Linked DNA regions of Drosophila melanogaster. The protein of the gene in region 2 interacts with the protein of the main gene of each other region in a pairwise test. Each region holds a gene or a part of one and is shown on either strand. Other genes may lie near its edges. The genes, in order: CG8997 and qtc.

The links.
Region 1: the proteins of qtc (region 2) and CG8997 interact in a two-hybrid assay, tested with the Drosophila melanogaster proteins (one large-scale study listed by BioGRID).

The regions. Positions count from the first base shown.
Region 1 is NT_033779.5:13,843,155-13,847,273, reverse strand, and holds CG8997 (uncharacterized protein), read left to right. Parts: upstream 1-1,948; 5' UTR 1,949-2,011; coding exon 2,012-2,081; intron 2,082-2,145; coding exon 2,146-2,858; 3' UTR 2,859-3,359; downstream 3,360-4,119. Other genes in the region: CG7916 (uncharacterized protein), read right to left, coding at 1-99, 155-320, 391-496; CG33306 (uncharacterized protein), read left to right, coding at 3,568-3,646, 3,702-4,119.
Region 2 is NT_033779.5:5,058,717-5,063,850, reverse strand, and holds the start of qtc (quick-to-court), read right to left. Parts: upstream 3,037-5,134; 5' UTR 2,861-3,036; intron 1,216-2,860; exon of another isoform or gene 1,111-1,215; 5' UTR 1,109-1,110; coding exon 641-1,108; exon of another isoform or gene 409-640; intron 1-408. Other genes in the region: Rpn11 (regulatory particle non-ATPase 11), read left to right, coding at 4,301-5,065. UniProt on the Drosophila melanogaster protein: In adult males, modulates sexual behavior by playing a role in sex discrimination and maintaining normal levels of sexual activity towards both males and females.

The DNA.
Region 1 (4,119 bases), 8.8 Mb from region 2:
AACTTGACCTTCTTGCTAAAGGTGTAGCTGACCTTCATCTTCTTGATCTCCATGCCTTCCAGGCCATCGAAACGGAAGCGCAGGAACTGCAGCAGGGTACTAAGGATGACTATTAGATCCACTGATACAATCACTCCAATTAATTATAACTCACTCGACAACCGACTCGGCCAAGTGGATGCGGAGATCAGCATTGGTGTAGGGATCCAGTGGTGGAATTCCATATTGGGGCCAACCACAAGGCATTTGGTTCAGCAGTCCATTGATGGCCTTCTTCACCGATCCGTTCAAGATCAGACCCTGAGTATCGGGCTTGGCGGCTGTTTGCGGGGAATCACATTGCAATTAGTCCTCTGTTTGGTCAGGTGATGGATGGCTTAAGACACTTACGATTACGCGCCACCAGCTGGTCCCATTGCTCCTCGGTGAGCAGCTCCACATCGTAGGCCGCTACGCAGGCCAAAAGGGTCACAAAAACACAAACGATAGCTTTCATTGTATAGCCAGCCACCTGATTGATTGTCCCAGCCGGTCAGTGGCTTTTATAGCAAAGCTAGCGGATTCGAAGGGCAAGCCGAGGGGAAGGGAAGGGATCACTTAACCAGGTTAACAAATACAAATGCTAATCGCTACTTTTGATTAGCGGAGCTGCCATGAACATAACGCCCAATTCACGATAGGCTTCCGATTTAAAAACGAAGGAATCAAATCATTCGGCAAGTGGTTTGTAAAAAAAGGGAGCACTTGTTTCGCCTGAGTGGCTTGTTTTGGCCTAATCTCGACGTCCAATTGGCCAATCGATTGTCAATATCACTTAAAGAATATATATTGCCTATCATTGCGATCTGGATTATACACAAATAACTGGTCTACCGGGGGTAAAACTGCGTCAACCACTCCATGCAGGTGTCGGCGGATTACACTGGATGACCGATTCGTATCACTCAGTGGGGGTAAATTCTTTTGTCTTCAGAGCTTCAGTGGCTTTTTTGTACTCTTTAGAACCTTAAAGGCGTACTAAAAAGTGATTTATTGCTATTCTGATTACGATTTTACAAGGGGAACTAACACAATGGGTAAACTACTTATTGATAAACATATTGGGCTAGGACTGGCGTTAACTTTAAAGCCAATAATTCGTTAAGAGAGTATTTGACTAGCCATCAGGTGTTAATCGTCTGGATTTTTTTATTAATAGATCCATTCGTAAGACCTTTAAATACCCCAGTCGAGATATCATTCATAAATCACTCAATGCACTTAAAAATCACTTGATTGTTAATCAATAAACAAACTTTTCGCAGACTTTAGATCCGCAGAAGTGCATGGAGAATTTTAATTCCAAACAGACTTCTTTAGAAGATTATAATCATGCTAAATTTTTGGTAGTCGTTTTCAATTTTGATAATTACTTTGTTAAAATGTTTCCTATTGGCTTCAACACCTGCATGACCTTAAAATATCGATTGATGGAAAGTTTTCGTAAGACCATACATTTAATGTATGAGTACTCTGTAATCGCGAAACTAATGATTTTAAAATCTTGTTTCCAAGTCAACCACTAATCCTACACCTTCTTTTTTAGAAAACGTTTTAGAAAAACACACTTTTTTGAAGCCTTCTAACCATAACAAAGCGGGGACACACCCCAAATAGACTTTGATCTTGACACTCCTCCACAAGAAGGCAATGTTTGTACTTTAGTGAAAACTGTCTTTTTAAATCTGATCATTTCCTTAGGATAAGTACCCCCATGTATGTATATATAACTAATCATTAAAATTAAAAAATTTGCCAACCGGGGAATCGTTGGCCGAGATAAGACAGCAATAGGCCATCGATTGAACGCCCGGTGGCTAATCAAATCGTTCACGAGTACGAAGCCACCTTATCACAACCCCACCTGAAATGTTGATCGTCTATAAAAAGCGACTCGTGCGACCGGACGACTGAGTAGTATAAATACCGTAGGTACTACGATCAGTCGGTAGGACTCTCAGTCAAAGCAATAATGAAAATCTTCGTGGCTATTTTGGCTTTTGTGGCCGTTGCCAGTGCGGCTTCCATGGGCCAGCCCATTGGTGAGTATTCCAGATGATTTCCAATGCCCAAATATTTAGCATACCTATCCATTTGATTCTCTAGAAACCCAGTCGATCTCCAGCACGATTGTGGATGTGATCGAGGGCATTAAGGAGCAGATGCCCTGTGGCTTTACCAGTGTCGGCCTGCCGCCATTGGCTCCTCTTAGAATTGACCATCAGGATATCAACATCGATAGCAGCGTGCTGAAGGCTCAGGGAACCATTGATCACTTCCGCCTGAACGGTCTGAATGATTTTGATATCGATGAGATGAAGGTCAACGCCATCACCAGCAAGGTGACCTACAAGTTCACTTTCCGCGACGTGAACGTGGATACCCAATACGATTTGAGTGTGCTGCTAAAGAAGTACGGATTTACCATCAATCTGATCGGTGCCGGACATGCCAAATTCGCCATCAAGGATATGGTTATCTGGGGCACTATGAAGTACTCACTCGGCGTGATCAGCGGCAACCTGAAGCTGAAGTCATTGGAGGTCCGCACCCACTTGGGTGAGGTTGATTCCGAGATCGAGGGCATCCTGGGCGATGGCAGCATCAACGAGAAGATGAATGAGTACTTGGCCGAGGCCGTGGAGCTGGCCATCAATGAGAACGAAGATCTGATTGCCGATACCATCGAGAGTATTGCCCTGCCCGCCGTCAACAGCGTTCTGGACGACATCAGCATCGCCGAGATCATCTCCGGTGCCGGTGGTGATGGTGAGGGTGGAGAGAAGGAGGCCTGCATTCCCCCCGAGTTCGAGTGGTAAACAAATCATCGGTCATTAAACAACCGTTTATGAATCAAGAATTCGTCACCTGGCTCTTTTCTTGCGGGACTGGCTTTCGGTGGGTTTTTTTTTGTTCATTGCATTGGGAAATTTAAACGATGTTTTAAAAAGCTTAATATTTACAACATCCATCAGCTTTCATTATATTTCAAAGACGGTCTAATCTCAAGTTGTGTCCTATCTGTCATAAAACACTTTGCCAAATTATTTGCCGATTAATAAAGCTACTTCACATGCACAGAAAAAAAATGTAGATTCATACAAAATAATATAATAAGATATAGCGATTTTCAGAATATGATTTTTATATCAAAGGGAATATCTTAGAGCACTGTACTCAATACCTCACCATTTTGTGTCAATAAACAATAATTTTGATATGAGAGGAATGCCCCTAATATTTCTTTAAACCTTTATAAACACTAATTATTTAAGAATAAATAACAAATTGTTCCATATTTCAACCATGTTTTTGTAAATATAAGCCAAGAAAGCATTCACTGTTTATTCACTGTACATAGAAGTTTTCCTAATATTAAAATTTTTTAATCTAGACACTGATATTTTTGTGCTGTGTACCGATAGATTATCTCAATGGTCATTTTCCTATATAAGAGGAATGGATTTGGCAAGCTTCGACTAGTGGATTTTGATTGCCAAAAGGGTTAACTAGTGTTCTGTGCTAAGAATGAAGTCTGCATTCCTGATTGCGCTTATCGTGGCCCTGGCCAGCTGTCAAGGTGCCGAAGTTGCCGAACCTTTGTCAGGTGAGAATATGAAGAAAATTTTAGGGAAAATTTAATAATCATAGTTAATTTTCAGCCCAAGGACGCTCTTTCTCCAGCGTAATTGTGGACGGATTGGAGGCATTCAGGGTCGTCCTGCAAAATGGTAGCCCGAGATTTGGAATCCCCGTTATGGCACCCATGAAGGCGGCGCAGAGGTCGTTCGAAATCAACTCGGGAGAATTCAGTGGCACCTTTGGAGTCGAGAACTTTGAACTTCAGGGGCTCGATCAGTACGAGATTATCACCATGAACATGGACGTGATCAGGAGTCGCTTGACCTTCAACATCAACTTTGCCAGCCTTAACTTCACCACCGATTACGAGATGGACATGGGCAGTGGCTATCGCATCAAGCGCAACGGTGGCGCCTTCTTTGCTCTCGAGGATCTGAACATTCAGGGTAGAATTAGCTACTCCCTGGGCGTGTTCACTTCCCAGCTTCGTGTGAAGGA
Region 2 (5,134 bases):
GCACAAAATTGTAAGCTGCGTGTCATCACGACATGAACAAAAGTGCAAGTGACAAAATGGCATTAGCCAGCTAAATCAATTAAATGTAACTTTCCAGGAAACTTGAAGCAAAACTTGAAACATGCCAAGTCATTACTAACTTGGCTAAAGCTGCAGGCTAAGGTAGGTTATAAACCTTTTCACTTAATATTTAATATCTTTATAAACGGTAAAAATCACATTTAATAAAAAATTACAAGCTATTGAAGAAAACAAACTATCTAGATAACAATCAATGCACTAGTCAGTTCTCAGAAAGTGTAAACTATCTTATAACCTGAAAGCCCACTCTTTCCAGGGTACCTAATAAGTCTAGAACAAACTTAGTTGCCTTTTCATGAGGTAAGCTAAACATATTTTGCCTTTCCAGTGGGAGTGTTTCATTGGGAGTGCTCCTGAATTCCCGGAAAATGCCTCTAGAGTTCCGTAGATAGTTTCGTAATACACTCATTACTTACCACAACGAGTGCGTATTGTGGTAGCCACCACCTCGTAACCTTTAACCCGCCGTGCGAGGGCGGCTCGTCAATTACCAGCAGTGAAAATCAATACAGAATATTGTGTAGTCCCACCGCCCACCAATCCACCTACAACAACTCACCAAATTTCGCGGCTTGCCGTTGGCCATGCTGCTGTTGCCCACCTTTGGAGCCAGTGCCTCCTTATCCAATGACAAGCACTGGGCGGCGTTGCATAGTGCCTCCGTGGAAGCCTCCACTTCCGGTTCCTGCTCCGTTTTGTGGCCTAAATTGCACCAGCTGCGATTACGCCTCAAGTGAACCGGGTGCGAACGCGTTTCGAGACTGGATGGGATCGCTGTGAGCTTGGCGCGCGAACTGAATCCGCCTCCGCCGGCTGGACAGTGCTCAGCCCGTAAACCGAGCTCTGCGGGATTCCCGCGCAGGCGCAGAGAAGCGGAACGCCGGAAACGCGCCACGGCGGGATGTGGAATGCGTGTGGGCGTTGTGGATGCCGTGTGCGAGTCCTCGGCGGAATCGTTGTCCTTCTCCCGCTGCACTTGCTCCTCCACCGCCGGCAGTGACGTCTCCAGCTGCAGCGACGTCATCATTTCTGCAGAGAGAGAAATAATTGCAAGATTACAGACGTGTTTTTAATCAAATTAAATGTTTGAACATGAAATGTTTGTTCAAGCTAGTATTAGCAACTAAAAAATTTAAATATAAAGACAGTTAACTAACCATTTTACTACTATGAAAGTGAAATGCAAAATTATGATTGGCAAAATGAGCTGCATACAAATTGAGCTAAAATCAATTTCTAATCACTGGTTGCACTTTCAAAATGTAAGCAATTTAATAATTGAATGCCTCGGATAAACGACTTCATTATCTTAAACGCTCGTCGGGTAATTAAAAAACTTTCTTCAGCCCGTAATTAATAATTACGATCTTCACTCCTTTCCGCTCGCCAATTGTTGCACTGATTTGCTGGGCAAATCCCAAATGAAAAGTGAAATTAAGCATTTTCCCAGACATGCAACTCTCAGGTTTTTGTTTTCGTGTTTTCTGTTTTTTTTTTCTTCAGTTTTTTCCTCCGCGGATAATTACGAAATTTGTTTGTTGAGATCTTTTTCGTTTTTGGTTTCTGTGGATTCAATGGTTTCAATGTATTGTATCTGCCTGTTCTAGTTACACAAGTTGATACGATCTCAAAGGTCTTTGGGTTAAATAATTTTTATTTTATTTGACACCTTAAAAGGTGCGAGAAATTCAGTTGAATATTTTCTGTCACTATCAGCAATTAAGTGAGACATCAAAGGTGATAAGAATTTCTGTGTCAGTTGGCAAATCAATGCGAAATCAAGTGTTATCTTTTTAAGCTTTCTGGCATTCTAGTTATTATAGACTACTTCAATTAAATATTATTTATAAGCATTTACCATTAATTTCTTATATTTAATTTCTACAATTTTAAAATCTCTTTGCAAGACCCCCAAAAACATTTCCCACATCCAAAATAATTGTTTTACCCATCTGACCCTTATTATCTTCTCTGTTTCTTTGGGATTCCACTGCCACTTTTGGTAGCAATTAGAGCGACTATCATTGTAAAGTATTTCCGCTCATTTCTTTCAAACTCAGACGGCTCCAACAAAATGTTCAGTTTTGGGCGGTTTTGGGTTGAGTTAGGCCATAAAAGGTCAATTTCACAGCTGAACAAACGTGTTTTTCTCCACTTTGTTCCCCCCCCCCCCTTTAATATCGGCTATGTGCTTATTTGCCACGTTTTTGTAACCAGATTGAGTGCATTCACGTCATTTCTTCGAACGGGATTGATTTAAGCGTTGACAAGGTCAATGGATAGCGTTTAAGATGCCCAAGTCAGATGTGAAACTATTTAATCAATGGCGAAATGGAGCACGTTTCTTTTGTTTTCGGCCTAAGCAAATACCAAGCAGCTGTTTAAGTAATTAAAAGTACACAGAGCGAAAAATTTGCTGAGTTCACTAGCCACTAGAATAATAATACTTACTTTATATGTGAGAGTAAGAACTCAAAGATACATTAGTTTAAAGTAATCATTTGGAATTACTACTCGTTTGATTTACTCGATTTAAGCACACACATTATTACCGAATTTTATTTTTTGTGTACTAATAGAACACACACACCCCCTGTAAAAAAAAAGCTCTCTAAGTTCGAGTCTCTCACTTATCAACAATAACAATTTTGTGGCTGTGTTTCGTTGGGTGATAAGAGGGCAAGTCAACAGCGAAATACAAAATCGACACAAATATGTCGGTCTCAGCTGAAATTCGCCACCTTTCAGCTAGAAGTATTCACAATTTGTATTTAATTACCTGAGTTTGGCTACGCTTGCGGCAAATGAGTGCACTATTTGCTCGCAATTTGTATGCGAATAATTGCAAATATCTTGAGCACAACGTTTAACCAAGCGAAAAGTATAAAACTATTAAACTTTAACAACAATTGTGTGGAGTGCGCGTGCTGGAGGCGAGCGACAAAATGCAACTGAAGCTGAAAAGCCGAGCGGCGAATGGAAAAGTCTGCTGGCAGATGGAAAACCTATTGTTCAATTACCAAAGCGAGACGGAAAATGGAGTAGTCCGTGTGTTGCAATCGGATGGATTTTGGGCTTTGGATTTTGTAGCCGGTGTGTGGCGTCGTCCCACCTTTTGATGGCATTTTAAGCGAATTTTCGAGCGTCTGGCGGTCTGGGAATCTCTTAATCGGAATCCCCATCGCCAAGAGCGAGGTGAAAGGCATAAAGAAGGCGCCGCATCCAAAAGGCAAAAGGTTTTTGGTGCAATTAATTGGCACAATAAAAACAAAAGGCGGCTCTGCATTGTACTTGCTCAAATTGTTTCGGTTTTGCCGGCGAAGACCTCATTTCCCATGGCATTTGACGGGCGGATGGATGGTGCATTATAAATTTTGTGGTGTTCGGTCTTGCGGAAAGTCTTAGTTTTCCTCAGCTCACTTCACTTTCGACCACACTACACACTCATTCTATTGTTGTACCAAATATAACATCGGAATACACTCTTTCCAGTACTTTCAAGTCCTTTGAGTTTGCTTTTTAAGTTTTATCCGCTTAAAAATTTCGAGCTTGGCGCCAATTCCCATTATCGATAGTTTTATGTATCGATATAAAGACAGTGTTGATCAGTGCTGGCAAATAGCAGACTTAAATATATGCTAAAATATTCCACAAACAAATTGACTACTACAAATAATCTGAAGAATATAGAATAAAATATTACAGCGGACTCTTTATAATTAGGTTAATTTTATTTTTATATGAAATAACTTTGGTAGAAGTAGCCTTTCCAATACATCCTTGACAACAACTAGTTAATTTCATTATTCCCTACTATAGTTACGTATTCTCATATTATTTACATAACAACAACTAAAGCTTAGCTTTGATTACACATTGAACGTAATTGAAATATTTTTATAGCTTTGCTATAATCAAGCTAAAATTTAGGCAAATCGTCATCTCCTCCCGCCGATAGCTTTTCGATAGGCGATGAGCGATACAACCCTGTTGCGAGTATTACTTGCAATTCTGCAAAATCAAACGAGACGGCTTTGTGTTTTTTGTTGCTGCTTTCGACGAGGAACGTAAATTACACGTAAAACAGTAGGAAATAGTTGATACTTGCCCCCGATCACAGAGTGTCTACAAATCCCAGAGGTGAGCACTTGGCTTAGTCAGCGCTTTTCGATTGTTTCTAACCCCGATTCGTATCCTTGTGCCCGGGTAGCCGCATAAAATGGATCGTCTGCTACGTCTTGGAGGTGCTATGCCACAGGCCGCCCCGCCCACAGATGCGCCCGTCGTAGACACCGCCGAGCAGGTGTACATCTCGTCCTTGGCCCTGCTCAAGATGCTTAAGCACGGACGGGCCGGCGTGCCCATGGAGGTGATGGGTCTGATGTTGGGCGAATTCGTGGACGACTACACGGTGCAGGTCATCGATGTGTTCGCCATGCCGCAAACGGGTACTGGAGTATCCGTAGAGGCCGTGGATCCCGTCTTTCAGGCGAAGATGTTGGACATGCTGAAGCAGACGGGTCGACCCGAAATGGTCGTCGGCTGGTATCACTCGCATCCCGGTTTCGGCTGCTGGCTGTCCGGCGTGGACATCAATACGCAGCAATCCTTCGAGGCGCTGTCGGAGCGAGCCGTAGCCGTCGTCGTCGATCCCATTCAGTCTGTCAAGGGCAAAGTGGTCATCGATGCCTTCCGCCTGATCAATCCCAACATGCTTGTGCTGGGACAGGAGCCCCGGCAGACAACCTCCAATTTGGGTCATCTGCAAAAGCCCTCCGTACAGGCCCTGATCCACGGGCTCAATCGCCACTACTACTCGATTAGCATAAACTACCGCAAGAACGAACTGGAGCAGAAGATGCTTCTCAATCTGCACAAAAAGTCGTGGAAGGACGGCCTCACGTTGTCCGACTACAATGAGCACTGTTCCATCAACGAGGACACCGTGGCCGAGATGCTGGATCTCGCCAAGAACTACAACAAGGTGGGTGATTCATCATCTCATTAGATATTAATTTATTGGTTGGTTAGCCAATTTAATGAAAAACTAGAA